Linked DNA regions of Arabidopsis thaliana. The protein of the gene in region 1 interacts with the protein of each later gene in a pairwise test. Each region holds a gene or a part of one and is shown in the gene's direction. Other genes may lie near its edges. The genes, in order: LBD38, TEM1, BBX26 and AT1G63840.

Evidence for each region.
Region 2: the proteins of LBD38 (region 1) and TEM1 interact in a two-hybrid assay, tested with the Arabidopsis thaliana proteins (one large-scale study listed by BioGRID).
Region 3: the proteins of LBD38 (region 1) and BBX26 interact in a two-hybrid assay, tested with the Arabidopsis thaliana proteins (one large-scale study listed by BioGRID).
Region 4: the proteins of LBD38 (region 1) and AT1G63840 interact in a two-hybrid assay, tested with the Arabidopsis thaliana proteins (one large-scale study listed by BioGRID).

Annotation. Positions count from the first base shown.
Region 1 is NC_003074.8:18,510,232-18,519,006, forward strand, and holds LBD38 (LOB domain-containing protein 38), read left to right. Parts: upstream 1-4,034; 5' UTR 4,035-4,233; coding exon 4,234-4,417; intron 4,418-4,511; coding exon 4,512-5,071; 3' UTR 5,072-5,900; downstream 5,901-8,775. Other genes in the region: AT3G49930 (C2H2 and C2HC zinc fingers superfamily protein), read left to right, coding at 15-662.
Region 2 is NC_003070.9:8,978,527-8,987,049, reverse strand, and holds TEM1 (AP2/B3 transcription factor family protein), read left to right. Parts: upstream 1-3,735; 5' UTR 3,736-4,073; coding exon 4,074-5,159; 3' UTR 5,160-5,494; downstream 5,495-8,523. UniProt on the Arabidopsis thaliana protein: Transcriptional repressor of flowering time on long day plants. Acts directly on FT expression by binding 5'-CAACA-3' and 5'-CACCTG-3 sequences. Functionally redundant with TEM2.
Region 3 is NC_003070.9:22,214,389-22,221,904, reverse strand, and holds BBX26 (B-box zinc finger family protein), read left to right. Parts: upstream 1-4,072; coding exon 4,073-4,828; downstream 4,829-7,516. Other genes in the region: AT1G60240 (NAC (No Apical Meristem) domain transcriptional regulator superfamily protein), read left to right, coding at 5,959-6,486.
Region 4 is NC_003070.9:23,687,548-23,695,523, reverse strand, and holds AT1G63840 (RING/U-box superfamily protein), read left to right. Parts: upstream 1-4,716; 5' UTR 4,717-5,032; coding exon 5,033-5,533; 3' UTR 5,534-5,921; downstream 5,922-7,976.

The DNA of each region.
Region 1 (8,775 bases):
AAGATCACCACCATATGGCTCTCGACACTCTCAATTCTCCCACCTCCACCACCACAACCACCGCTCCTCCTCCTTTCCTCCGTTGCCTCGACGAAACCGAGCCCGAAAACCTCGAATCATGGACCAAAAGAAAACGTACAAAACGTCACCGTATAGATCAACCAAACCCTCCTCCTTCTGAAGAAGAGTATCTCGCTCTTTGCCTCCTTATGCTCGCTCGTGGCTCCTCCGATCATCACTCTCCACCGTCGGATCATCACTCTCTTTCTCCACTGTCCGATCATCAGAAAGATTACAAGTGTTCCGTCTGTGGCAAATCTTTCCCGTCTTACCAAGCGTTAGGTGGACACAAAACAAGTCACCGGAAACCGGTTAGTGTCGATGTTAATAATAGTAACGGAACCGTTACTAATAACGGAAATATTAGTAACGGTTTAGTTGGTCAAAGTGGGAAGACTCATAACTGCTCTATATGTTTTAAGTCGTTTCCCTCTGGTCAAGCATTGGGTGGTCACAAACGTTGTCACTATGATGGTGGTAACGGTAACAGTAACGGTGACAATAGCCACAAGTTTGACCTAAATTTACCGGCTGATCAAGTTAGTGATGAGACAATTGGAAAAAGTCAACTCTCCGGTGAAGAAACAAAGTCGGTGTTGTGATTATTATTATTTTTTACCGATCGGGATTAGCTAGTGGTTGATCATTAGCTGAGTCTGTAATGAAAATGATTGGAGTGGACTTTGGATTATTTTAATTTCTGTTTACGTATATGGAAAGAAAATAATCTTCAAATGTTTATTCGTTGTTGGTTTTTGTTTATAAAAAGTAAAAAAAAAAAAGGATATATTTGAAATTATTATTAATTTTGTTAATAATAAAAAGAATTGGATTAATGAAAATTGAAAACTACTATTTCATGGAAACTTCCTACTGTTGTTTTTCTTCATTACTTGATTAATTTTTCATTTACTATTTCCGCAAGCAAAGGAACCACTTCTTTGAATCTGTCACTCCCAGCTTGAAGTGATCTGTTCCTAAGAATTTAACTATTTGATTAAACATTTCAGATTTCTATTTAAAAACATAATTTGATAGGAGAAATAGTATTAATTTTGGGTTATGTTAGTATTAATTATTGAAGTAGTGATAGATCGGTTAGTAGTACCTAACGAAGCTAATCCTTAAGTGGCTTGTCGACTTTGATTGGTTGGCACTCACACTTCCCTCCACGCTTAAATTATTTTTATAATTCTGTATTATTTCGTTTTCACGAGTTTTACGAGTCTTTTAATAATTAATTAATTGTATAATTTGTTACGATAAATATCTTACACGTCTTAATCGATCCCAGTTCTTATGTATCTTCTAAGAAAAAGAGTAGTTATACATTCCGAGAAAAATATGGATATTGGGTATTTTCTGAATTAAATGCCGGGAAAATATTGTTTTTTTGGTGGCACAAAAAATTGACTTATAATTATTCTTTATAACTATATTGTAGTATCTGATGGTTAAGAATTTTTGGAATTATTTTAAGATTTGTTTTTTTCTTGTCAACCGATTTTTATTTAGAGTTCAGAAAACTCATCCCTTAAAAATGTTGTTTATATATGTGATATTATGCGGTTCGGTATAAACTTTTCGTCAAATTAAGATTTGGCTTTGAAAAGACAAAAGCAAAAATTTTAAATCTAAAATGGTGTGGGAAAAAATAATAATAATACCTTGCTAAATAAGACGGAAAATATGTCGTGCAGCTTACTGCTTATACTTACATCTTACATTACCTATTAGGCTATAACCTAATGCTTGTGTTATAAGTCTGTAAGATTTGGTCATTCATTCTCTTTGTACTATTGTCTTCTTATATTGCTAGAAACTTAGAAACTAAAGAATTTCACCAATTTTTGTGGGCATAGTATATAGCTTATTAGCTTGTAATAAGGCCTAATAAGGCCCTCGAGCGTTACAATAACATCCAAATTAGTTTTGGCATGGTACCGTTAAAGTGGTGTTAAACTATTAATTTACCAAAGACTCATTGTTTGGACTTTGGACCATACGAAAAATGCAGTAGAGCCCATAGTGACATAGTGTACCGGCTCTTATAGCTGAGAAATTATATCCCAATTAACAGCCCAGTATTTAATCATTTAGAACTCAACGTGAAAGAGGACATGTTAAAGCCCAACACAAGTCCATAGACTCATGAAATACAAGTCCACAAACCCACCTTATCTAACCATGTAATTAGGTTTTATAGCATAATATAATGAACATCAATGAATGTAAGTAGGAATGCAATTTGTGCAACCTCTATTTGACAATTTCTTTCATTTCTTCTCAATAGTTTACAAGTCTCATACATTGTTTTTGTTCTGTTTTCAAAGAAATAGTTTTGGTTTTTCTATTGTATGCAATATGACTTCCCACTGTACATCATAAACATTGAAGTATATATAATATTTTTTCTATTGTGTTCTGCCGTACGTCTAACTTATAATCTATTTTATAACATTGATTTTACTAAATATATAAAGGTAAAATCTATCTTGTTGCATTCACTTCAGAAAATAAATTTTTGGAAGAAGGGCCACAAAACAATACTAATTTTCAAAAATTGAGATTGAAATTATGTTATAAGATTGATATTTAAAATAGGAATACCGTTGTAAAAATAAGTAGTTGATTTATCGAACATCTAAGCATCTGTTTAACACCAATTTTATGTCGTTGTTGATCAAAACTGTCGCGTTCAAGTGTCTTGTGTCGACTAATTAAGCAAATGAACTTTAGGTACCAGAAGTTCAACGAAACAATAATGCATTTTTAAATTACTAATGGACTGAAGTAATTGGGAATAAAGAAATATAAAGAGACGGCGGCATTCAGTGGAAAATTTGCCTAATTGGAGTGTAGGTAAGCACACCACGTAAGCCATGAACGGCGCCGTTTCACCGCATTGCTATAGGAAAGTAGAAGAAGACACTTTGACTTATTAATATCATTTTGTTGTAGATCTTCTGTTCATCATATATTTGATTTTGTTACTAGCTAATGTAAAGGAGAAAAGAAATGTTTGATTTGGTCACACACGTGAGACAGCATCGTAGGCAAAAAAACGCCTCTATCTTTCTTCTAAAACATTTTTCATATTAAATTATCAAAACCCTTAAGGTTGATTTAAGGGTCAGGTAGTGGATTTGTTTCGTTGAAGGGTCAGCTTAGCCTTAACCCTAAACAAAACAATCTCATTGGTTTCATAAATAAATTGTTTACAAAGTATACGTACTGCATGAACGAATGAACCATATCTATATTTATAAAACTCATAGAGACCAATAGTTTAAGAGAGGCACTTATATAGCTCAACAAATAATAGCGAACTAGAGAGAATATGATCTAATTAGTTATAAATCTCAATTTTGAAATTGAAGTGCGTTATTTCATTTGAGAATCTATGTGTTTTTTTTGTTGTTGTTAGATGAGAAGCTAGGTTTTTTTCTTTTCTTTACACCGATAATCGATAATATATGTTAATCACACTGATTTTTGTTTGAGACATGAAGATTCGAAAAATTTGTCAACGAATAAACACTGGATAGATAGAATTGAGATCTGCCATCAAATAATCGAGATCGTTCATGCATGACGCAAACATTTATATAGAAATGAAGCAAGTAAAGAATATGAAAAAGAATAGAAATGAGAAATTTATAAAGAAAGAAAAAAAGAACCAATGGTTGAGGAGGCAACTATTCGCGGGGACACGGAGCCGTTCGCACCCATCACCTTGGAATCTCTCTTTCTTCCTCTCTCCTCATCACCAACTAGTCAACAACCACACACCATTTTTAACTTTCATAATTAAACCTAACATAACATTTTTTTTTGTATAAACTATAGCATAAATTAAATTCAGTTAATGATAAAATAAATATATTTTGTAGCAATCATTCTATTTTGTAATTTGGTAGGGCTCTTTAAACTTTGATTATTATCCAATTTTTATTAAAATATAATAAAATCTCAAAGCCATGACCCATTCCTTCACTCAAGTATCAATGTCTATTGTCTATAAATATTACATAACTCTTCTTCTTCAACCAAACATTGAAACACTTTGTCCCACTCTCTCTCTTTCTCTTTCTTGTACCAAAAGCTTTTTGAATCTCCAAGATTATAGCAAAACCAAAGATAAAATACTAACTTAAAAGATTTCTGAAAATAATGAGTTGCAATGGTTGTCGAGTTCTACGAAAAGGTTGCAGTGAGAATTGCATCCTCCGTCCATGTATTCAATGGATCGAATCACCTGAAGCTCAAGGCCACGCCACCGTCTTCGTCGCTAAGTTCTTCGGCCGTGCCGGTTTAATGTCTTTCATCTCCGCCGTACCGGAATCTCAATGCCCTGGTACTTAAAAACAAAAACCTCTCGGTCCTTTAGATCTTCGTCTAAACGTTGTCGTTTTGGTTTCTGATGGTAAGGGTATTTGGTCTTTTTACAGCTTTGTTTCAGTCTTTGCTATACGAAGCTTGTGGGAGAACTGTGAATCCGGTGAACGGAGCCGTCGGATTGTTGTGGACGGGGAATTGGAATGTTTGTCAAGCGGCGGTTGAGACGGTGCTTCGTGGTGGTTCTTTAAAACCAATACCGGAGCTTCTTAACGGCGGTGGATTCGCCGGGTTTCCGTCTCCTACTTCCGACGAAGCTTCGGAGATCTGTACGGAAATGTTGAATCTACGAAAAGCTGATGATTCCGGTGATCGGAACATTTATCATCACTGCCGATTCTCAAGCTCTAGATCTAGATCAAGATCAACAGCTTCTCCGCCGAAACGGAAACGATTATCGTCGGAACAACAACCTTCGTCGGAGCTTGATCTCTCTCTTATTCCTATTTATCCGATTAAAACCTTGCCGTTTAAGGAAGATACACCGTCGATGTACTCGGAGGAGTCTGTTACCACGGTTTCGTTTCAAAACAACAACGCCGGTGATCGGTACGTACGCTGCGGCGGAGGAGGAGGAGGAGCAACGACAAAGTTGCTCAATCTCTTCGCTTGAACGGCGTCGTTTTTGTTATGAGGGTTAAAAATGTAATTTCGAGTAACTTTTTGTTGTGGCCTTTTTTGGATTAATAGCCCTTAATATTTTGTGAAATGTAGCAAATTACGTGATTTATTTCTCTCTTTAATTATGAGAAATTATCCAAAGTAATAGAGAATAATGATATAATTCGTCGGTGGTGTACTATTTTATTTTTAGTTCATAATCAATTAATCATCATTCTCATCGAATTCAAATTAAAAGATAACAATGATAATGTGTACGATAAATCAATACTTATTAGCTACTAAATTATTTGTTTTTATCGACATATTCAACATTAATAATAATAATCACGAATCGGAGTCAAAATATACATCTCTCCAAATCCAAAGCACCGGCAAAGTCTTCGCACCCAACATATTTCGATTCTTTAAGGACCAACATGTTGTAATGTACACACAATCATACACAACTTGCTATTTTGATAATCATCTTGATTACTACTCGCAAAACAAAATATTAGCATTTATTATCTCCAGGTTTATTGTCTTTCGATACTACATTTGTTATTCAATGGTTTAATGATACCTAGTAATAGTATAACACAATAGTACGTATTCCTCGAGATGTGATGATCTTTTTGTGATATCTCAAATTATCCTATACTAGTACTGCAACGGTCTTCTTCGCAACACTCTCAATGGCATATGTACATCTTCATGTGTTTCTTTCTATGTTTAAGATTAGTCTACCACACATTCTCCGGATGAATACAAACTCTAAAAAAGATTAAACAAGGTGCATTACATAATATAAGTAATTGTATGTATAGAGTAGATATGCATTATATAATGCATGTAGTTGGGTTGAACCCAAAAAGTTGGGGTTATAAAGGGAAAGCTTTTGGGGGAGGCGGCTTTTGGACGACGCAAAGAGCCGTTTATGTCACACTTCATACCTTCGTGGAATCTTCAAAAGCACTCTTTTTTTATTGTTCTTCTATTCTTCTTCACATTTTGTTTAATAAAAACAACAAGGTATTGTTGCTCTATGGATGATGGCGTAGAAACAATGAAATTGACCAATAACATGTTTGCTTTTGAAACGTTGAAATGAGAATGGATTGTTGTTGGAACAGAAGAAGTGATTTGAAGATCTTATGAAGTGGGACATATTTTAAATATACTTTCGACCAGCCAGTCACTAGTGGGCAAACAATTGCTTGTGGTCCACGTCACTCTCCTTTCCTTTTCCGACCACCGGACTCTTTATGTTATTTTTGAAAAATATAAGTTTTTAGTTCTGACCATTTCAAGTTTTATCAACAACCGGGTATCATCATTCGTTCAATCTCGTCTGTTTTTTACATCTAATTAGTGTCTAATCATGAGTTACAAAATTTATGGAGCTAAATTTCTTTTTCTACTTTTAAACTATGGAGCTAACTATACTAGACGAATTCGCTTTTTAAAAATTTGGGGAATACAATATAACAATATGGATGGATAAACATGAATCCATCAAGTATAATGAGAATAAAATAACATTAGCAAGATTCGTGTTTAATGCCAAAAGCCACGAGCAGCCGCAGTTTCTTATGGGCCCAATACTTTCATCACCTTCTCCACTTAAGTCGGTGTGTGTGAGTCCACTTGATGTTTTCTTAAACTTTTCTTCCGAAAACGAACAAAACTTTAGTTAATTATTTGTCTTTGGTATGAATGTCAAGAAAATGGTAGTTAAATTAGTAAGGAATAACTAAACTTAAATAATCAAGTTGAAAATTAAAACCCTAGGTCTCACATGATTATGAAACATTTACTACTTTGTGTATTCCAAAAAACATGGTGATCAATAAAAAAATTTGAAGGTGAAAACAAAACGACGTGGATTATCAAATGATCACAAGAAAACTAGTCAATCTAAATAGAATATCAAATAACGACAAAAAAATAGAATATCAAATAATTAATTAAGACCATCAAAATCAAGTTGGTATTCATAATGATTCTGGATAAAATACAGAATTAAGTAAGTGATTTTTTTTGGATATATATATATATATATATATGATTTTTTTTTGGTGTGTTAATTCATAATGATTCTGGATAAAATACAGAATTAAGTAAGTGATTTGTTTTTGGATATATATATATATATATATGATTTTTTTTTTGGTGTGTTATATATATATGAATGATAATAGTAAAGTAATATTTTCTCATTATTTCAATTTTTATTTTTGCAAAAGTTATATATACATGATTATCTGACTCTCAAATAAAACAAAAACTAGGGTTAGCTGAATATTAGCTACCAAATAACATTTTATCAACCGGTAAACACACATTAGACCATAACATCTTGATATGTAACCGTACATAGTTCTTGATGAATTTTTTCGTACATTACTATACAAAGTGATATATTAATTTTCTGAAACTCAAAAAACGTTATGCTTAAAGCTGCATATATTGTAACCAAAGACTTTTTAATAAATTTTACATTACAATGATTCAAAAAAAGAAAAAAAAGTGATATATTAATTTCTACAACACATATTTGGAAATTTTTGTAACTGAATGTCATCATGTCCCGATTATCCCCAGAGATTTTGTATATGAACCTCTTTAAAAAACAATCTCAATTGTTTGTTTCTTGCTTTTAGTTTTCTCAAGTCTTTTGCTATTCAAGAGTTTATCGAATAAGTTTCTTGTGGATCAATATCACTATCTAATTTCTAACGATTGATTTTGTTATTAATATAGATGATCATAAGACTTAGCTTGGTCTACATTTTTTGTGGTTCTTAGGGTTTTGTGTGATCATTCTTCGAGTAAGGTGAGGACCCAAGAGCCATCTTGCCCCTTCAAATCTTTTGTTGGCCGTACATTCATTTACACTTAATTAGGATATTCTTTTCTTAAAGCAAAAATAGAGTTTAACAAATAAAATATAAAAATAAGATAACTCTAGTCTTTGATCTTTATCGACTCTTCTAATGTCGGATTGATTCAAGTTTTATAGTATGATTATTAATGAGAACGTCACTAAGATAATCAAGTGCTAATCATAATCCTTTGCGAAGGCTGTTTTTTGTAAATTTAAACGAGACTTTGGAGGAGCTAGAAAGGATCAGTGTTGAAGATTTGGGAGAGATCGCGACAAGGACGTGAAATGGATGCGACACGTGACTTTCACGTGACTGGTTCCCTCATCGCTGGAACACATAATCCACTCTTTCACCTATTGGGTCCTACAATAGCTTCTTATCTTTGACTAAATCATTTTTCATGTTGTAATAAGTAACTAGAAGATGTGCATATACGATACGAATTAGAGAATACATACGTCCTGATAAAAATAGAATATATATATATATATATACCGACAAATTAATCATTTTGTATTCTTGGAAAAATTATTTCTTCTGCTCACCTAACATTATTAACCACTCAATAACCGTTAATATAGTTTGTCAATTCTCATTGAGCTGAATAACTAGTTAAATACATAGTCTCTAAATGTGTATAGTGTAAATTGGACCAATCAGGAAAATGAGATCTAATTATTCATTCCTTTTCCATAGGGTCCTTATTTCTTCGTCTTTTTTTTTTTTTTTTAATAATCCTTTATCAAATGTACATGATTGTAAACTGTAATATTTTCTATATATTAAAAAATATATAAAATATCTTTAAAAAATGATTTCAAGATTC
Region 2 (8,523 bases), on another chromosome or scaffold:
ATGTGATTGAGTTTCATTAGAATAACTCAATAGATACTTTTATATATGAAAATATACTTTTATACTTAATTATGTTAATAATGACTATCTCTCTAACTGGAAAATGGAAACTATACAGGATTAATATGTTAGCAAGAGGAACATACATTCATTATATTAAGCATGATACTTTATGAACAACTAACTTTTTTTTGTTGATCACATGGAACAACTAACTTTATCTAAACAATATTATACAATATTATATATATATAGGTCAATTATATCATAAAAGTTGGCCAAAAGATGGCTTTAGTATGCGCCTAAACCCATCATACTGTATTATGAAAAAACTGTTCCGGCAACTAGTATTTTTTTTGTTGCAAAAGACATTTCGCCAACAGTTCGTCATTTTAATTGATATAAATGGTTGAAATTTGTTCAAGAGGAGAAAAAAAAAGGAGGTCAATTGACTTAATTAGTACCATAAAAATCTGCAAAAATGATCAATTAATTGCAAATAAAATTGCAATTGATTTTTTTTGTAAAACTTCCCCATAATTAATTAATCCGTCAAAACACATCACAACATCACAGTTAGAATTATAAAATGGCATAGTATAAGGAGCTGATTTGATCGGGAATTAAAACTATAAATACATCAATTAGGTCTGCAATAATGATTTTTAAAAATTAGGTTTCCAGTGAGTTGGTTATATACTTATATAAATAGCATGCTTAATATCACGTTTTTTATTTATAATTAAGAAAATGTGGGGAGCCACACACTAAATGATTTAATACAACTTAATTAGTTTTGGTAAGGTGGCCTAAGTTAGGCCATGTTATTAAATTACTACTCCACTGGATTTGAGTTGATTTGTTTGGCCAACCTGATTATCCCCAATACAAAAATACTCTCATGTTATTATAGACTGATATATCTGTGAGTAATGTATATATTATTCTCTTGATTATACCAAAATGGAAGATAAGAATCTAAAATGAACGACTGAGATGGAACTGTAATATTACTAAAAATAGGATGAAGTTTGGGTCCAGATAGAAGAAATTATGAGGAGGATGGTGCTGAGTGCTGACCTTTTCGTCCTTGGAAACATATCTCACTCGTTGTCTTCCCACTTGCAATATTGCATGGCCCAATTCTTCAATGAAACGACACCGTTTCCAGTTACACCAAACCCTTCTCAACTAATTTATGTTATGTGGCAATCTTGCATGTTAATTACATGTATTCAACACATGAGTCTATCTATCTTCCGATTAATTTTCCACCAAAAGTGATATAACTTTTGATAATAATTGAGACGGACCAACATTGTATTTTTAGGCAAACGCAAATTACTGTTTAATCGAAATTTTAGATAAAGTAAGGTAAGATCAGACCAAAAAAACAAAGAGCCTACTATTATAAAGTTTCGACATAAGAAGGTCAATGATGTGGATGATATAACCAATTGCAAGTTAATGAGACGTGATACATAAATTTCCTTAAATCTAAACTTGTATCCGGTGGTACTAGATTTAAAATATCCTTATAAAGTTCGTTGATATATACATACACACCAAACTCATTTTAGCTTGTTGTTGTTTGATAAAGATCCAAGATAATATGAAATCACTTTTTAAAAATTAATCTATTTAATGTCACACATCAACTATTTTATCTTTCCATTTCAGAATTTTGATTTTTTTCGGTAGAATATAATGGAGCTCTGATGAGTATGTGACCCACTAATCAAATGGTTCATTGACTAGCTCGGTTTTAAGCTTTAAGTCCTTGAGATCATTATCTTCAACAGAAGACTTATAAATACTATTTTATTTGAGGAAATGATAGGGTTATTCAACAAGTATATATATGCTCATCTTTTAAAAAGGGGATAAGTATTACTTTTGTTTCAAACAAAATGGATAAACATCTGAGGGAAGAAGGTAGGACCAATATAAAAGTGGAAAAATTAGGTACTCTGCTCCGTACAAGAATATGGCTCATGGGCAAAATACATTGGGTTTATGATTCATCTCCCCCCTTCACATATGTACAATGTATTATATCATGTTGTTCTTCTTGTCCCCATTCTTGATATCTTAAATATTTAAGTCCAATTCATATAATTGAGCAATAATTATGTTTGAACTCATTAGTTATTGCTTATGAAAACTGATCAAAACAACAAAAAGTTGACGTTTTAAGTTTTGCATTCAAACTAGGGCAACTGTGTTAGTTTTATCTTCGACGACGTGGATATAAGTTTTTTAAAATTATGTAGGTATAATAAATTAAATAGAAAGAAAAAAACTATATAATGAAACAAAAGAGAAACAGAGGAGAGTTTGATGGTTTAGGACGAATCTGGTTTATTTAGTTCAGCCAATAAAAGCATAGTTCCAATGCAAGTGGGAACATCAACTAAGTCTCACTACTTTTTAAAATAGTCGAATAAATCTGCATGCAGTACTTTGTTATGCGTATATAATATCAAATAGTAGTACAATTTGATAAAAATGTTATATGTTTAATTTGGTGGATCATAGAAGGATTAATTTTTATGATCAAATAACGAAGCCACGAAGAACTAAATCTGACCGTTTGATGCTTATTCGAGAACTATAACAATATTAGGACGTCATTCATGTATCTTTATTAAAAATATGTGATCTTAAACAAAGCTTCGTGCATAGATAAGAAGGGACTAGTCACTCTAATAAGATCAATAAGATATGTTGTTTCTCTTTGTAAACCGAAAATAGTGGGCAATTAGATCACGAGTCTTGGCTTTGCTGGCGTATTCCAACGTTGTCTTATCATTATCTCAAAATATTATTATAGGTCGTCTCATTTCATACCCGTCAAAATAATAGTTGTTCTTATATGTTTCGAACAAGTCACTTTAGGAATTAGGATGGAAAACATATCCTATTTGAGTGGTATTGGTTAATTTGAGAAATTGAGCGTAAAGGAAGACAATGCGTAAGAAAGGCAACAATACGTACTATGATTCTACGTACAAAGAAAGTGCTTAGGGGATAAAAACCAAACTAGGTAAGGACTTGTAGGAAACATAAGAGAACCTAATGATCAAGACCTCCCCAACTAAAGCAAAATATGTAAAGAGACACGTCATGTTCCAAATATGGAAGGACGAATATAGTTTCAAGAAAAGCCTCATGATCAAAGGGGGGATGCACTATTTAATTAGAGAATCACAACAAAACAAAACAAAAGGTCCAAATCTCATGTGAACCCCCTTCCCACTTGGCCCTCTATTCTATCCCCATTTGTGCTATTACACATCGCCCATTACTCATTTTTCTATCTCTCAACGAGTCAACTCTATTCAATAATTTTACATATCTTTCTACTACTATTCTTGTATGGACCATTCGATTTTTGGAAACTTCTTTTCTCTTAAAAAAACATCAATAATATCGGGCGAAATGTCAAATGTGGTTTTTCTTAGCCCTATTTACCATTCTTAACCACATCAAGAATCTCATTGCTAGTGTTGTAATTATTCTTTGTCCTTTAGTGAAAACATTAAGAAAAATTCATCTATTGATGTTCACGTTCTCTGTAAATTTTTTATAGACGCATGTTACACGTAATATATTATTAGTTTATTACCATATGAAGGGACTAATTATGGCAACAACAAGATTATAAAAAAAGGACTAATCAAAAGGTACCAAAATTAGTACGAATGTAATAAATAAAATAAAACTTTATGACACTAGCACACATATTTTTGGACTCTTCCCACGAAACTTCCTCTACAAAACACATTTTGCCATTTGTTGCAAGACTTGACCCTACTCCTCTGCACCTCTTCTCCTTTCTCTTTTATTTTATTTTCACCTTTCTTTCATAAATACACATACATTACCCACATTTTACATTTATCTCTTATTATCCTATTCAATTTTGACAAAACAAAACAAATAATATCAACAACGTACATGCACTTCCTTGTGTATATATATAAACTCCAAACCCCATCTCTTCATAAAGCAACAAAAACTTAACCCATTTCTTCTTCTTTTTTTGTTTCTCTCTCACAAACACAACAAATATGGAATACAGCTGTGTAGACGACAGTAGTACAACGTCAGAATCTCTCTCCATCTCTACTACTCCAAAGCCGACAACGACGACGGAGAAGAAACTCTCTTCTCCGCCGGCGACGTCGATGCGTCTCTACAGAATGGGAAGCGGCGGAAGCAGCGTCGTTTTGGATTCAGAGAACGGCGTCGAGACCGAGTCACGTAAGCTTCCTTCGTCGAAATATAAAGGCGTTGTGCCTCAGCCTAACGGAAGATGGGGAGCTCAGATTTACGAGAAGCATCAGCGAGTTTGGCTCGGTACTTTCAACGAGGAAGAAGAAGCTGCGTCTTCTTACGACATCGCCGTGAGGAGATTCCGCGGCCGCGACGCCGTCACTAACTTCAAATCTCAAGTTGATGGAAACGACGCCGAATCGGCTTTTCTTGACGCTCATTCTAAAGCTGAGATCGTGGATATGTTGAGGAAACACACTTACGCCGATGAGTTTGAGCAGAGTAGACGGAAGTTTGTTAACGGCGACGGAAAACGCTCTGGGTTGGAGACGGCGACGTACGGAAACGACGCTGTTTTGAGAGCGCGTGAGGTTTTGTTCGAGAAGACTGTTACGCCGAGCGACGTCGGGAAGCTGAACCGTTTAGTGATACCGAAACAACACGCGGAGAAGCATTTTCCGTTACCGGCGATGACGACGGCGATGGGGATGAATCCGTCTCCGACGAAAGGCGTTTTGATTAACTTGGAAGATAGAACAGGGAAAGTGTGGCGGTTCCGTTACAGTTACTGGAACAGCAGTCAAAGTTACGTGTTGACCAAGGGCTGGAGCCGGTTCGTTAAAGAGAAGAATCTTCGAGCCGGTGATGTGGTTTGTTTCGAGAGATCAACCGGACCAGACCGGCAATTGTATATCCACTGGAAAGTCCGGTCTAGTCCGGTTCAGACTGTGGTTAGGCTATTCGGAGTCAACATTTTCAATGTGAGTAACGAGAAACCAAACGACGTCGCAGTAGAGTGTGTTGGCAAGAAGAGATCTCGGGAAGATGATTTGTTTTCGTTAGGGTGTTCCAAGAAGCAGGCGATTATCAACATCTTGTGACAAATTCTTTTTTTTTGGTTTTTTTTCTTCAATTTGTTTCTCCTTTTTCAATATTTTGTATTGAAATGACAAGTTGTAAATTAGGACAAGACAAGAAAAAATGACAACTAGACAAAATAGTTTTTGTTTACATCTAATTTAGGATCTGTTTTTTCACCCTTTCCTGAAATATGATATGTGTTCTCCTCCTTAATCTAATAATCTTGTTTAATCTTTGGTTTATAGCCAACTTTATAGCATATTTTTCCAATTGAAATAGAGTTGTTATGAGTATATAATCCCACACTAATATTTATGCATTTACTTTCATATATACATAATATACATTATTGGAGAAAAATATCTTATACGATCTATAAGAATAGTATAATTAAATGTCAACATGTCCAATTAAAACATGGGTGCGATTCGAAAATCTATTTATGTGGTTGAGATGCTTAAGCGGAGAACAACGTCGATCGTTCAAAGATTTTGTACGTTTCTTAAACTAAGTTTAAAAACTGTTTTTTCGTGTACGATTTTGGGGAAAAACACTGACCAAAATAATTAAGAACATGCACGGAATCTAGATTACGATTTTAGAACCATTGTTATGTTTAATAGAAATACATCTCGAAGTTGATAATTATTTTTCTTATGCCTTAAGATTCATGCATCTTATTTATTTCACGAAGTATAGTTGTGTTTAAAAAGAATCAATTAGATCTTAAAGGCTACACATGATGTATGTGGACACTCGCATATAAGTTCATATATTGTTTTTATCATGACAATAACCACAACTTTTTGTTTCTCAATCATTTAATTACTTACGAGACATGCATTGGCAAGATATTTATATTCACTGGAGTAATGTTGAAATTTAGTAAATAAAATGTACATAAATGTATTTTCAGAATAACAAAAAGAAAACAAAATCAAAAGATCATTTGTTTATGAATTTATTATCGTCAACATATATTTAGTACTAGTTACTAAAACTAAACATAATTTTGATAAAAATTAATCCTTATAACAAAAAACGTAAATAGCTAATGATTTTTCTGATTAAACATGAAAACATGGTTAAATGTTCTAAAACTAGTGTAATCCCTTACATTTAGTTGTTGAATATTGCTCTCAATTCTCATGACTTGGAGCCCATGATGTACAAAAAGCCCATGCTCATTTAAAAGCCGAACGTTTGTTGATTTTCTAATGTTAGCGAACTTGAAACCTAAAACTTGTGGGTTATGGTACCACTTGAGATGACACATATAATATAAGCCCAACTCATGTTAGTTAAATTGTGACTCATTTAGACGTCTTTTCTTGGGCCAAATTTTACAATAAACATCAAAATAAGATTTGTAGAAACATTCTGAATTTCTGAGAGTGACAAAATAAAAAAAAAATACTTGGCCTTATGGAATCTGAAAGAAGCAAAAGCCTTCAAATATTTCGAGATATGTGTTCATCGCTCGAACAGTACAAGTATTTTATTTTCTTGTATACTTTTGATTGAACCATTAGGCAGTAGATGTGCATTAAATTTTCAACGTAATTTTGACTATAAATGTACGCAGTAGCTCCACTTCAACAGAAACTAAGTAAGACGTACATGTTTGTCCGTCATGCATATAACTAGTTCTCGTTAGTATTTACATTAGCTTTTGTATTAGCAAACTTTGCATGATGAGATATTGTAATTTAGGTGGTTGATGGCGTTGGAATGATTTCTCATTGGAACGTTTTTCAACTTTCTTCACTTGACATTTATTTTCTACTATATATATATATATAACTTTTTTTTGAGTTCGCAACATCTCAAAATTAATTTGCTTTTAATAAGAGAAATATAAACTGGTATAAAGAACGATGTAACAAATGAAATGAGTATTAAAAATTTCTTCTTTTTACAAGAATCAATTTTTATGTTTTAGTTTCTCAATATATAGTCCATATTTTTGGTCACACTAACATGAATTTTTTCAATTAATAAATTAGAGTGTCAAAAAACTTCACCGAATTCTTACACAATTTGTTTTTTTAGCAAAATGCATGCTATCGGTAAAAAAAATCGGTGAAGTTTTTTTTTGCTATTTTTGCCATTTTTCAATAGTAACTTTTCCATTTGACGTTAACCTGACTAAATAATTTTAGATAAGTTAATTCTAAATCAAAGGAACCGAATCCATCATAATTGACCTAGACTATGACAGACATCGTATAACTAATTAAATAGACTAGAATCCCAAGCTAATGAATAATGATATGCCACATCTCAGCAAAGTCTAAGAGCAAAAGATGAATGCATTAACGTAATTTAGAATCCATTGACTCGCCCTAGTGACTAGTATTTTTATTTTATTTTATTTTGGGACAAAATCCCTAGTGACTAGTATAAGATACGAATACACACCAAAAAAAAGTATAAGATACGAATAAACAAAGTTTATGCTATTATTTTTGTCGCAATTTGCTTGGTTTACTAAGGGAAAGGCTGACAATCTTGTCTACATTTTGGAAGAAAAGATTCAAATTTAAACCAAAAAATATCTAATATCAAAACATATCTTCTTCATAAATAAATAGGTGATGGTTAGCTGTATTTGAGGTAAAGGGAGGGCCACTTGGCCTTTAGGAGAAGGTAAGGGTCAGCAGCTTTGTTAATCCAACCTCTTTTTAGAGAGGTGTTTAACGCAATTTCAAGATATTTGAATCCGATGATATTTATCTCCTGATTACATGGATCACTGTCTTTGTATTTCAAGATATCCGTTTGAAAATAGTAGGCGTTACATGTATTCGTTTATAAAAAGTAAGAAGTATTTTCTGAAATTGTAATTTATTGAAAAAATCACAGTACGTTACTACGTTTCATAGAATACCCATGAACATTTTTGATATAGTAATGTAGTATATGTTCAACAAGTCATTAACATTGGTGATGACTTGTATTATTGATATATATGGTGGGGTAATGAATAATATAATGAAATAATGGTGAGCTGAACAAAAATATTGTGAAATTATCATGAAAATGAAAAACGTTCGATTCGTTTACAAGAATGATACCAAAATGAAAAACGTTCGATTCGTTTTACAAGAATGATACCAATAACTTTTTTTGTCACAAGAAGATATTAAGATAACTTCAAAGAGCAGAGAATATCGAAACTTTTTTTAAAAAGGCAGAGAATATACTTTGGACAGCACTGATATCATTTTTTTCAAAAGAAAATGTATTTGGTAAGGAATCATTTTTCTTGTGATTCTTTAATCAGTTGCATGAAAAATGCCAAAACAAATATATGCTTCTTCTTTTTTGAAATTCAGAATATTCGGCCACGGGGACCACACACCTCAAAACGAAAACAAACGA
Region 3 (7,516 bases), on another chromosome or scaffold:
TTAAGGGGGGATACGATGTTGGTTATGGATTGTACTCTGTCAATTTCAGTGATCCTCATCGCAAAAGATCTCCCAAACTCTCTGCTCATTGGTATTCTGATTTTCTCAAGGGCAAAACCGCTTTTCTTGGTTCTCAAGGCATCACGGAATTGCAGAGCAACCTCTCTCCTTACTCCTAGTAATGAATTGCAATAATATATTCTGATGAATCCGTTGTCATAATGAGAAGCGTAATAAATTCATTCGAATATTATTTGTTTTCATTTATTTTACAATCAAATATTGATAACCGAATTGCTTCTTATTTCAAAATGGACTGAAAACAGTGCAAAAAAATCCCAATAATGTATGAAAAACTCAAAACTAAAGGCTTTTTTTTTGTAAAAACGCTAGAGTTATTTATTTCAACACGTGTTACACACTTTAAATAAATACAGTGGACCATATACTTTGTTTCTTCGTCACACAAATATTATCTCTAGTAGCAGTACAAGAGAAAGAGCATTAGAAATGGAACAGTTTTTTGCTCTGTTTACCATTTTTCTATCTTTTGCTTTCCCCGGGAGATGCAGCGACGTTTTCAGCAGATCTGATTTCCCCGAGGGATTCCTCTTCGGAGCTGGCACTTCTGCTTATCAGGTTTGGAATCAATTCCTAAGCTTTTTTTTTTTTTGGAATTTTTGAACCAAATGTTTGATCTCTGCAAGTGGGAAGGAGCTGCTGCGGAAGATGGAAGGAAACCTAGCGTGTGGGACACTCTTTGTTACTCTCGTAAGCTTTCATTTTAACATAAACTGTTATTAGCATCAGTATTTGAACAGATATATTTAGAAACAGAGATTAGTTGTTGCCTTTGAATTATTTATGCTTCTGATCAATTTTTTCGTTTCTAACTTTTCAGGTAACATTGGTAACGGAGATGTAACATGTGATGGGTATCACAAGTATAAGGTTCTTTCTCTTTTCTGCTTTACTCTCTCCTTGTGACTACTACTACATTATATAGTTTATTCATCAAGCCTGACTTCATTGTGACTTTGTAGGAAGATGTGAAGCTGATGGTAGACACTAACTTAGATGCCTTCAGATTCTCTATATCTTGGTCTAGGCTAATACCTAGTAAGCCTTCTTAAACATTTATGCCGGTTTTGTTTCACTTGAAGGGATCAACTTTATAATTAGCTCTTATCTCATTAGATGGAAGAGGCTCTGTTAACCAAAAGGGTCTACAGTTCTACAAGAACCTCATCAGCGAATTAATAACCCATGGGATTGAACCACATGTTACACTGTATCACTACGATCATCCTCAGTATCTTGAGGATGAATATGGAGGATGGGTCAACAATATGATGATGTAGGCTAAGAAAAAACAACATTAATTAAATCTCTTTTACAGATTTTCTAGGACAGTATTATGTGAAACTAAATTTGGTGTTATTTGGCATTGTAGCAAAGACTTCACTGCTTATGTAGATGTTTGTTTCAGAGAGTTTGGGAACTATGTCAAATTCTGGACCACTATCAATGAGGCTAATGTATTTACTATTGGAGGTTACAACGATGGGGATACACCGCCTGGTCGTTGTTCTTTACCGGGCAAAAACTGCTTGTTAGGGAACTCTTCTACTGAAACATATATTGTAGGCCATAACTTACTTCTTGCGCACGCCTCTGCTTCAAGACTATATAAGCAAAAGTACAAGGTATACTTGCTTATACATAACCCTCTTTTGAATGTATAAGAAGCAACATACTATATACAATGTGCAGGATAAGCAGGGTGGTTCCATAGGCTTTGGCTTATATTTAATGGGGTTGACTCCTTCTACAAGCTCCAAGGATGATGCCATTGCAACTCAAAGAGCCAAAGATTTCTATTTCGGTTGGTGAGTCAGGCACAAACAGTTCTAAAAGGTTTTTCAAATTGGGCAACATGTGCAAGATCTTAAGCTGAAAAGAAAGAAAATCTGCTCTTTAAAACTCAGGTTCCTTGGACCTCTTATATTTGGAGACTATCCAGATACAATGAAAAGAACCATTGGATCAAGACTGCCAGTTTTCTCAGAGGAAGAATCAGAACAAGTTAAAGGCTCATCTGACTTCATAGGAATCAATCATTAGTTTGCGGCTTCTGTCACAAACATCAAATTCAAACCTTCTATTTCTGGAAACCCGGACTTCTACTCAGACATGGGCGCATATGTGACTTGTATGAATCAGACTCATTCTTTTGTATAACAAAAAAAAAACCTCTTTTATCTTTATAATTTGTTACTACTCATTTTTTCTTCGTTTTACTGGTTAGAAGACCTTGGGAATTTTTCAGTTATAGAGGTAAGAGTTTTAAGGCTACCAAATTCAGATACAAAACACCTTATATTCCTTGACATTATAAGTCTTTAAACAAATAAGTGCTACTAATCTATCTTTCATTGTTTGTTTTGTTTTTGTTTGGACAAGTATCCTGTTGCTCCGTGGACTATGGAAGCTGTCCTAGAGTATATAAAGCAGAGCTATGACAATCCTCCTGTCTACATTCTTGAGAATGGTCAATCTCTTCTATGATTAATTTATTCGTCTCTCCCTCATGTTTTTGATTTGGACTTAAAATGTCATATACAAACAGGTACACCGATGACGCAACACAAGGATACACATAGGGTGGAATACATGAATGCTTACATTGGTGGTGTGCTCAAATCCATAAGGTAAGTAAAGTTTTTTTATTGCATCTTTTCTTCTCTTATCTTGTTCGTGTAATTAAGGAAAAGGACATTGCTACGTGTAGGAATGGATCAGACACTAGAGGCTATTTTGTATGGTCATTTATGGATTTATTCGAGCTTATAGGGCGGTACGATTATGGTTATGGATTGTACTCTGTAAATTTCAGTGATCCACATCGCAAGAGATCTCCTAGACTCTCTGCTCATTGGTACTCTGATTTTCTCAAGGGCAAAACTTCTTTTCTTGATTCCAAAGGCATCAAGGAATTGCAGAGCAACTTCTCTTCTTCCTCTTAGTACTGTGATGAAATAACTCTTATGTTCTACTGAATTTAGACTACTTGTCATGAGAGCCACTTCTTTTTTTCTATAAATTCTAAATTAAACTAGTTTAGTAACTTTACACGACAAAATAATGAGAAATCACAGATGCTGAATACAAGAATTGCCCGTTTTTAAATGCTAAAAAGAAATTCGTACCCAGGCCTAAGCATGACATCAAGTTCAAGCTAGCATTGTATCAAAAAACCATATTACAGAACCATACAAACACTTGAATAGTTAGTAACTCTTAGCAAAGTTGTTTTTTACACAAAAGCATGCTAATCCGCATCAAAAAAGAGACACAAAAGAGCAGCTTCAAATTCATATACCATCCATTGTTAAGGCTGCATTTCCACATTAAAAAGAACAAAAGCGCAGCTTCCTACCTACATGTGAAAATCATAACAAAGACTGATCAGAAACTTAAGTATGTAAGTACTAAGCTAACAATCTAAACTCTAAAGCAAAATAGTTATACAAAAAAAAAAAACTCATTAATTTACCTGTTTGTCCCCCGTTTGGTTATGTTGATAAAGTTGGGATATTTTTTTCTTCAAAAAAAAAAGATTTCTACATCAAAATTTAAGAAACGACATTATTCTTACTGATCTTTAAGATCCGATAAAAGGAAAAAAAAAAACTTTATTCTTAACAAAAAAATGAGAAACAAGGATCAATTTTTCAAATATCATATAATTATCTTTTTTCTTTCTTATTCTCAATTAATAAATGTAATGTTGAATTTTGAGAATAATTTATAGTTAAAGATAAGTATATAACTTAGTAAAATATATCCTTCTACATAATCAGTTTGTTAAAAAAAAATCTACAAATTAGAAACTCCATCTAAATACGAGCTTCACAGATTGTTTCACAGAGAAAACAAAACTTTGGCTTCCTTCTCTCCTTGGTTCGTGTAAGTTGAATGTTTTTTTTTATTTTAAATTCGTGTTTCTTCTCTTCCGTTTTGCGAAGTTGATAATTTTGTTATAATCTTATATGAATATTTTTCAGGAAACATGGCTCAAGTTTGTCACACATGTAGACATGTAACAGCCGTGATCCATTGTGTTACAGAAGCTCTTAACTTCTGCCTTACATGTGACAACCTTCGCCATCATAATAACATACATGCAGAACACGTACGTTACCAACTTTGCGATAACTGCTCGATGTATCCGTCTATACTTTTCTGTTATGAGGACGGGATGGTTCTTTGTCAATCATGTTATTCGCACCATTACAATTGTGCCACTAATGGCCATCAAACTCAAGTCGTCTTCGCTAACATGAATAATCAACACCATGATCATGCACATATGCCTCATGTGGTTCACCATAACAATAACAATAATCATCAGCAGCAGCATGTGGGTGGTCACCAAAGAAGAGCAGAGATGTTTGAGAGGAGCTGCCACGGGGATAACAATTGCGAGAGATGGATGTTTGCAATGAGATGTGAGTTATGCGTAGCTTCGAATTCAAATGCTGTTGTTTATTGTCCTACACACAACCAGATTCTATGCGATAGTTGCGACCGGATGATTCACAGTCACGAGGACGCGGTGCCGCCGCATTCGAGGTGTAAGCTTTGCGTAATCTGCAAGAGACCTTCTCGCCGTTTTCTCATTGGCGGCTATCAGTTTAATTTCCCACCGGTTCATCCTCCTGCGGCAGAGGGGATTCCAGTTACGCCCCCAACAGAACTACCTCAACAAGATATTAATTATGATTATCTAGATGATGTTGATGATTTTTCTTGGTTTGGTAGGTGAATAGAAAATCGTCTTCTTTAGCTTTTTATTTATGTGTGTTTCTTAGAGTTTTCGTTAGGGGTTTAATTCTTGGTGTTATAATTGCTTCTGGATTTGAAAAAGAAAAGAAGAAGAAAAAAAAAACAATCAGTTGGATTTAATATGTTAGAAGAAAATAAAATGTCAAAACTAACTCCAATTTGTTCGAGGATGGAAGATATCATATCTTGATGTATGTATATCTCATCATTTAACTAGAAACTATCTAGAAACCACAATTACCGAAAAAACATAAAACAATTTTGCTAAAATGTTAAGAACACAAATTAATTTGATTAACAATCGATGCTTAAGGGGTTTATAGGAATTAAATAATATTTTTTTTTCAACAATAAAATTAAATTTCACTTTGCGATTTTAATTTTATTTAAGAAAGTCAAGAACCAACTCCAATATTTCCGGGGATGTGATTTTCTCAATAAAATCGTCTAATTATCTTGATTTTTGATGTTGTTGTTGTACTTTACGTGAATATCTCACAATTAGTAAGCAGAGTAGAAGATTTTGATTAGTATGACGACAAAAAATAGTACAAATAAAATTTACATGACCTTTTTTGTGTTAAAAAAAGTTACATGATGTTCTGCAAGAAAATATGCTTGTATAATAAATAATTTTTATTAATATTTTATTTCTGACTATTTTCTTCAATAAGAGAAAACATAGTCATTTTGTAAAAGGAAAGAACGAAATAAAAATGCAAATTCTTCACGTTTTGTTAAATAGATCTAATTTAGTTCTTATTTAAGAACTTAATATTACATCTTTAAACCAAAGTAAAATATACAAATATTGACAACTATCGGTCTAATTATTTCAATAAGCAAAGATTATAGAATAATTTCGTTAAGTGTATATATCGAAGAGAAAAAAACAAAGGACAAATCGGTCAATTCACTAATTTGATATAAACGGTACCAACAGATGACGAAGCGCCTCTCTATATATAGAGTACCTTCTTTCCCAAGAAACACTATCATCTTCATATTTTACATCTTCCGTTTCTTGTTTCTCTCCCTTCATCAATCATCATCAGCATTTTCCTTAAATCTTCTTCTTCTAAGAGATCTTAGTTTCACTGAAGAACGAAGATGATGAAGTCAAGACGTGAACAATCAATCGAAGAAGCAATCGTCGCAAATTATTTGAAGATGATGATCGATAACGTAAACGTTTGGCCTCGCCACTTCCTCCGAAGCGAAGACGTGTACTGCAAGAATCCGTGGACGCTTTTCGTTACTAGAGATCCTATAATCCTACACTTCGGACGATACTTCTTCGTTAATCGGAGTGTGAATTCAGGTTTAACCGATGGATGTGAATACGGTTGTTGGAGAATCATCGGTCGTGATAGAGTGATCAAGTCGGTGACGACCGGGAAGATTCTAGGGTTAAAGAAGGTTTATAAGTTCTGTGAAACTGATCGGAAACCGAAATCGGTTTTTAAGTTCTTGGAAAAGGAGAAGAGAAGAGTAAGAGATAGACGAATCTGGGCGATGGAAGAGTATAGGTTTGCAAGTACGTGGAAACAAGATTACGTGATCTGCAAGATTCGACGTCTGTATCCACAACCATTTGACTACATGTTGGCCCAGCACATTCGAGGTTACTATAAATGAATCACTGATATTCTGATCCTGGATTTGAACACTCGATTACTGTTTTTGGTGTCACGTTATTGAACCCGTTGTTTGGGAATTTTCATGTATTCTCATTATCCAGTTTCTTGATTTCTCTCATTCATCTTTGTTCAATCTTTTTGTTTGTTTGGGGCAAATCGTCTCTGTACAATCTTTATGTTACTAGAATTGAAAAGAAAGATTGGTGGAATCGTTTTAAAACTGTGGCATCTTTAAGTGTTATTTTTGGTTATGCAATTGCGTTGATTTTGTAAAGAAATATTTAGATGTAGGGTGATTGGTCGGTGGATTTGTTATCGAGTTCCAAATTTGGAATTCTTCTAAGATTAGATTTCTCTATCCAAAGGCATAATTTTCTTTTATACATTGATACTATTGCTAATTTGCTCTCAAACATGATTCTCAATTGACCTAACAAAAAATATATATACAGTACTAAATGTAGACATTACCTACGATTAAATAATTTTATTGTTGCGTTTACACAAAAAAAAAATTGTTGTTGCTATCTTAAATATACTGCAATATTCCAAATTTAGTTTGCGAAAAAAGGAGATATCACAAAATGATAAATAAATCAAAGTGTAATCAAAGACTTCAAAAATAGATTTCATTGTACATTTGAAACATAAGCAAAAAATACATTTTCTTGATATACTCAACTAAAATTCTACAATGTCTTAACTCTCAATAACTGTTTATAATCTTAAGTTAAATGCTTCTATTTACAAAACGAAAACGATAAGTAGAAAATTCCATCAAATAATGAATCTTCAAAAAAAATATACACCATGAAAAAGTAAAGAAAGATTCACAAATAAAAAATGGTTTCTGATAAGTCTACAAAAGTAGCTTTAATATCACCCATATCGAAGTTAAATTTCTATTACGTACGAAATGCAATGTGTATATTTTGAGTATATACAAAAATGGTTCATGTACTTTTATGAAAATTGAAAACTAGCTGGGTGTTATACAAAAAAAAAAAAAAGAGCAATTTTGTGTCTAA
Region 4 (7,976 bases), on another chromosome or scaffold:
AGTGAACAAAAAAAGAGACAAGAAATGAAGCTTTTTCTTTTTCTAAAGGACAGGTGAAAATAACAACCAACATTACAGATTAAAAAATTATGTGGTCAGGTCAATATTTAAAAATTTACATGATGTTTGGTGGGCGATAAGAATATGGTTTAAAGAAAAAGTAATTTGTCACTTTGCGTAGACAGAGTTAAGATAATCGATTCCATTAAACCTATTATCAACCATACATATAGAGATCTTTTAAGACAAGAAAAAACTAAATACTCATCATAGTAATAGTTTTTTTGTTTTTTTTTTGTTTTTTTTGTACTCATCATAGTAATAGTTGAAACTTATAAATATTAATGAATGACCCAAAAGTCTTATTCATTGTTCATTTTTTAATAAAGAAAAACGTCCAAACTCTTTTAATTTGGCTATAATTTATTTATTAAGTTGTATATATAGTTCAGCTAAACAAATTTATATCTTGTTTATAGACATGAAACAATTAATCTTATTTCAATAAAGTTAAAATAAAAAGAATTTAGTTAAAAAAATATCTAAACAAATATTTATATATTAGGACGAATTGAAAAAGTGAAGAAAGAAAGAAAGAATGAGGTGAATGGAAGGCACGTTAGTTTGCCTGCTAGAAGAGAAGGGGGAGGGAGACAATAGATTCGCTGCTTCAGTTCTTGTATTAGCTGTCTTTGTACTATTTCATGTTCTTGTATCAACTCTTTTTCTTTCTTTTAAAGATCTTTTACTGTCTCTTCTTATCTTACTTCTAAAATATACATCATATTCAGACTCAGAATTATAAATAAAAAATGATGACTGTGTTTGAAGTTTGAACACATCTACAACAAACATATTTGATCATTATTAATACTGTATGACTTGTGTTGTTTGCGACAGATCTCAGTGGAAACAAACAATTGTTAGTAATAGTATTATGGTTTTTTTTATATAACAATTGTTAGTATTAGATAATAAATAGATAAATTAGCATTCCATCTATTTATAAACATTTCCATTCTATTATTTTTATAAAAACATTTTTTTGTAAGTTATTACAAACAAAACTGATTCTCTAAAACATTAAAATATAAACAAAATGATTGTTTGTGAACTTCTTGCATTTTTTTCCTAATTCGTTTTTCACTGTTGGAAACTTTGTGTTACAAATATTTTAGATGTATGAGTAAAGTCCGCACCAACATACATCGTGTGTCGATACAGGCAAAGTGTACGGTCTGACATATACGGATAATAAAATATGTTTGTATAAATTGTTAGAAAGAGACGATCCATTATAAAAGGTAATTAAAATAATTTTATTCCTGTGGGAAAGGAAAAGAAAAAGGCCGCGTGGTCCAAGTCAGTCCTCATGACCAATCATTATTTAACATAGTATGATTTATTCATATTTAATATAAAAATTATTAGAGCTCAGATTTGTTTTAAAATTAGTAGTAGCTTAAAATTTAGGGGTTTTCAGAATTAGTCTGAACACCAAAAAAAAAAAAAAAAATTGGTTCTAATGTGGAATTGGTTGTATTGAATAAAGTTGATTGAGAAAGACACACAGTATATGCTAATTATGGTTTAGCTGGTTGTTTAAAATAATAGAGTGATTAGTTGGTCGCTTACTGACAAAACGACAGTGTCTGACTTGCAAAACTGGAATGAATTTTGTAGTTTTCCGTTGAATTAGCAGACAATTTTCAACTTAAAGATGTTTACTCTACTTTTTTTTTAATTTAAAGCAAAATTCTTGTAATGTTTTTTTTTATTGTATCCTCTTTCATATAATAATTTTTAAATCCTGTAACGAATAATTAAAGCAAAACATGTTGTCACTACAGTAATCCGTACATAACAAAAGCAAATATACAATTTTTATTAGGATAAATTAGGTATCTTTGATTTTAAAAAAACTATATTGAAATTATAAATATGCTTTCATTTTCAAATATAAAAATTCTCTAACGATAATTATACTGAGTAAGAATTACAAAAAATGATTTAACCCTTGAAAATAAGTGGAAATAAAAGTTTTAAAAATTAAAACGGAGAAAACTTAATACGAAAAAAATCTATAATCATTGAATAGTGACCTTCATATAAAAGACCGTAAAAAAAAAAAAAAATGCGTAACCTATATTCACGATAGTCCTTACTCTATTTAATTTCCACAGTAAAAAAAATCGTATAAACTATTTTTTGAGCATTGCTCTTGAGTAATACATTTAGGTTACCAAATCATATGAAAATATAATAGTTTCTCTCTAATTATTTTCTCAATATTCTTAATCTGATTTCGTATTTATATTAATTGTCCAGACTCCAGACAAAAGGGATGAATCATGGCTGGATTTAGCTGTCCTACCTGTTAATATATCTCTACTGTCTAGTAACGCCAAAACCTGACAGTTAGTGATATATATTAGACTAATTAGTTATTCCCTAACCCCTGTTTCCAATTATATTACTCACATATATACATGAGTTTGTGATAATTAAACTTGATCTACTTAAACGTAGGTGATAGACAAATAGCCTAATGTTTTTTGTTCTCTCGCATCTTTTACCAAATACCGTGTGGTGGATTCAAGTTCTCCATAGAACATTTTAAATGTTGACAAGACAAGAATCTATTGGATTAAACATACAAATGGGAAAATTTATCTATTGAAATGTTATTTAAGTTAGATAAATGCATCAACAAATTGACGTATATGTACTTAACTGATATATATATATATATATGTTAATGTGTATATATATATATATATATATATACTATGTTAATGTATATAGTTATAGTTGCAAAAGAAAAAAGAAAGTGTTAAATTTTGGAATGTGAAATGTTGGAGGAGAAGATGGAGAGAGTGTGAGGTGGGTCAGTGCTGCTTTTGGCTCTTTCATTACATTAGTCAGATTCCCATATGACATGAGACTTTCGCTCTTCCTCAGAAATAGATCCCTTAATATTGTATTCTAGAAGTATATTTGACATAACGGAATCAAAAGCCAAATTGAAGAGCTATGTGGACTTTTCTACGTAATTAATTTAGGTCTTAATATACTTAGTATACACTCTCAAAATGCTAGTAATTAATATAGCAAATGACGAATATGTAGATTGATGATAGTTCAACTAGTCATGTAATGATGTGAAGATACAAACATAATATGCATTTGAACTCAAATCCTATCAACCATAAGTAACATTTGGGTACCCATATTTATACCAAAACGTAACAGCCAATTAAAAAATCTGGTAAAATTTCATAGAAAACGACGTAATCGTGATACCTTTGTTTACTACTAATCTTGATACTTTATGATTTACATCCATGTGAAAATAAAATCATGTAGACCAAAAATTTCTCATACAAAAACATTAAAAATAGAAATAATGGTTTTGCAATATTTTGTTAAAACAGTTAATTTTTTTAAAAAAATACACACGTATATATTCATAGTTTATATACTTTATAGGCTTATAGCATAGTTCAATAGAGGTACAGACAAACTGAAAAGAAATGAACCTAACTATCTGTCTTCACCTCGATTATTTGTCGTCTGTCTGACTATTTTAATTTAATTCTAATAATTTATGAATGTGACTAGTTTGGCTTATAGGCAAAGATCAATTTTTAGAGTGGGGTTATTGAATATTGTATTCTAACGGAATTGTATGTATTTTCAAAGACACGGTGACATCCACTGTCATTCAATTTCTATTTGATTTTGTTACATTTGAGTTTCAATGTATTATTTTGTCTAAATCACGAGTAAAACAAATACGAGCCTTTTATCTCTGATTTTGATGTATTTCTCATAAAAATTATAAACAAAATAATTATTCCCAAAATTGTTTTATTTCTCTTTCATCTAACAAAGAGATAAAGAATCAGAAGCATTTTGAGAACAATATAATGGCGAAGAAACTGCAAGATCCACCGATGGCATCTTCAAAATGGAGCCTTCGGCTTTGGAGGAGGAAGATCGTATTTTAAGAACAGAAATTCGATCATTCATCCAGATCTGATCCCTTATGTTGCAGTTCCCACTCTCTTTTTTTCTTTTCTTTTTTGCCATTTATGATGCAGTGACTCTTTGAACATGAGTGAAGTTCAAAGAGAACTCAGTCAAAATCCATACCAATTAACGATTAACACATTACAACGTAATACATAAGTCGTGTATTGTAGTGACTTTGTCAAAATCCAAATTCAGTTACGCTAAAATACATTGAAAACATCAATCCAATAATTTTGAACCAAAGATTCAAATAAAAACACGATTTTTTTTATTTTGTAATCGAACGATTTTGAACCAAAGTATAGACTAATTAATATTTGGGATTTTTAGAAAAGTTTAATATATTTAAACCCTCATGGGTTAACCTAGGTATGAGTTTTTTTTTTTCATTTGTAATATGTTGATTATGTGTATTCTTGGGTGCTATAAGCAGAAGTTACATTTCTGTCTCCGTATACCGTATTAAAAATAATGTATACTCAATTGTAAATATCTTTGATTATGTCATTATGTATTTCATGTATACATGTCTTTTCTCCTAAAACTTTTATACCACTTCATAAATCAAGAATTGTAAGAAAGTTAAAATTAAATAAACAGAAATTTAGTGTTTAAATCTGATTTAAAATGGAAATTTGAAAGTAACGAGTTTATTATATAGTAAAATACATATAAGAAATTATTTAAAACCCTTATTTAAATTATATAGAAAAAAAAAAGGTCAAGTAGTCTTCTATTATTTACTAGTATAACCTCTAGAAACATCATCACCACATTCCTGGCTAATATCCTTCATCTAGAACAATTATTAACGAATCAAAATACCAAAAAACAAAGCACCTCATTGACTATTAAATTAGTACTAATACATTAATTAAGTTATTATTCCTATATATAAATCTCACCCATTCTCCACCTTATCATCACAATCCAAAACTCTCTCTCTCTCTCTCTCTCTGTCTCTTGTCTTATCATTTATCTCTCTAACGGCGAGGCAATGGGTTTTCCGGTGGGATATTCTGAGCTACTTCTCCCAAAAATCTTTTTCTACTTGTTATCTTTCTTAGGTTTGATACGTAAACTCATCTCCACAATGTTCAAGATCATTGGTCTACCAGATTTCTTAGAACCTGAACCGGTTTCAACCTCATGGCCCGACCCACCACCCACGTTGACCAAACCTGACTCAGCAGCAATACTAGCCGGAGAGATGTTACCGGTTGTTCGATTCTCGGATATAAACCGACCGGAATCCGAGTGTTGCGCAGTGTGTCTCTACGATTTCGAGAACGACGACGAGATCCGACGGCTGACGAATTGTCGACATATATTTCATCGGGGATGTTTGGACCGTTGGATGATGGGTTATAATCAGATGACGTGTCCACTTTGTCGTACACAGTTTATACCTGATCATCTTCAACTGGAGTTTAATCAAAGGCTCTGGTCTCAATCTTCTGCTGTTTCTTCTCAACTTCTTGATGAATCATCATCTTAGGACGTATTAAATCTTTGTCCAAACAAAAAAAAAAGACATATTAAATCCTTTTTTTTTGGTACTTTCATTGGGAATTGGGTTTGGTGTGAGATCGATGTAAATATTAAACAAAAAAAAAAAGGTAGTGGTTACAGGTTAATGAAAAAAGAAAGAAGAAGAAAATTTGTACTTATCCATCCCTGAAAGATGAAATTACATTTTGAGTTATTATAAAGTTGTAAACTTTTTTTTTTTGTTAAGGAAAAAAAAAATCATTTGCTATAACAGATTAATACTGAATGTGTTAGTTTTTTAGTACAGTATTTTAATAAACATTGTTTAGAAGTTATTTTTTAATTGTTACTTGTTCACCTGGCTAACTCAATGATACTGACATATTGTTTTTTGATTAAAGGCTTACATCAATGATATCTTTCTTTTATAATTTAAAATCAACAAGCATTATGCATAGGTCATTGAAGATAAGATTGTTTGTTCATCCCTATAACATGCTGAACTAATATATTTCAACATGTATTTGAGGGTATTTGAAATGTTCTATAAGTGGTAATAACAAAACTGAAGTCGGAAACCGATATGATTATTCCCCACAAGTGCTAACATCATGTATTTAGGTTCTCATCCGATGACATGTCTTGAAAGAAGCAAAAATTAATGGCGAAATCGTCATGAATATAGATATATCTTGGACATTGCATTTGACTTTTGTTTGATCACGTCTCTCACAAAGGAGCTTGGTGTGTCCTTTACGATTTATCATGTGATCTATTGTGACAATGCTGGAGCTATCTATCTATGGGATAATCATTTTGTTTCATTCTTGTTTGAAACATGTGGCACTTGACTATCATTTTATCCTAATCATGTTTTTCACTCCCGGTTTCTTATGTATTGTTCATATTTCGTCAAAAGATCAATTAGCAGATACATTCACCATATTTTTTGCTTACTATATTTTGCTACTTGTTTTGACAAAATAAGCTAACCTATATCTATCATTTATATTGAAGATAAGTATATAAGAGCTATCTAGTAAATATGTGTAATTTACACTTTTCTACTGAAACTAGAACTTTTACTTGTATATATATCCCAAGTTATGTTCTTTGTGTGGGAAAAAAAAAGTTAGGTTTCTTTGTATAAATATAGTTGTATCTCTATCATTAATCACTAAAAAATAATCTTTCGTCTATACAAGAGACCACAAATGAACTCTTAATCATTGGGAATTAGGACTTTTAAGAGCCAAACAAAAATAAATAAATAATCATTTGGAGTCTCGTAATAGAAAGAGTTGCAAAGTGGAATATGTAAAACTGGTTTGTGCAAAGGCGTGACGCGAGGAAGCTTCCCATGTGAATGTAAACTTTGGAGTATGTTATGCTGTCGCGGCGTGGCATACGTGGACTTGTCTGTGCGTGTGCTTATTTCTTTCAATACCCTAACTCAATAGAGCCCACACGTTTCTAATCATTTTTTGCTTTCCGTTTACCACATAAATTAAATTAAACCCTTTTGAACTATATAGTATATCGTTAAAATAACGTATAGTAAATTATGTTTAATCTTAACCATTTATTTTATTTTGACCATTTCATTATTACATGTGGTTTACCAGCCAGAACTTGCGCCATCTTATATGATGATTCAAAACATTGCTCACAATTATAAAAAAAAAACTATGATAGTTGTACAACTTATATTGAAATATAGAAGAGTAGTATGAGTAAACTATACATAAGTTTGATTTAAAAAATTGTGAATACAGTGATTTTTTTAAGCATATAGTGGGAGATATCGTTTTATAAACTGATATACAACTCTTCGAACATTTGTTGTGGTTGACCCACTTTGACTACAAAGCCTAAAGGCAATTCAAAAGATGGTATGAATGAATCATTAGCTCTATAGTTTATAGTTTTCGACATTTTCATTATACCTAGATATACCCTAAGCAACATTGCTCATCCTCGATGGTTCCACGTCCACCCTCGTGCGCCAATTGGAACAAAAACAATCGATAAATAAGTTAAAGTGAACATTGTACACATGTGTTACAAAGACAATTATGTTCCGAAAAAAGGAAAAAGCCTCCTCTGGTTTGCATTAACTAGCTTATTTAGCCTCTTTAATACCATCAACCTTTTGTATTATAAAAATGTTACCAAACACTTTTTGTTCATCAGGTAAGAGTTTATGCAAACAACTTTGATCATGAAAATTTCAGACTTTCAAATGATGTTTGCTATATGTAAGTTCTGATAGTATATCGATCCAAAAAGCCACTGACACCGAGTTTTATTTTTCCACAATTCTTACCTCTTGCTTGTAAATCCGGTTTGAGACTGTACTTAGATTCTTAACTGATTGAGATCAATGCAGAAGATTCTCACAAAATTAATCGGTTTGGTAATAAGTTCTAAACCAGAACCACACCGGTTTG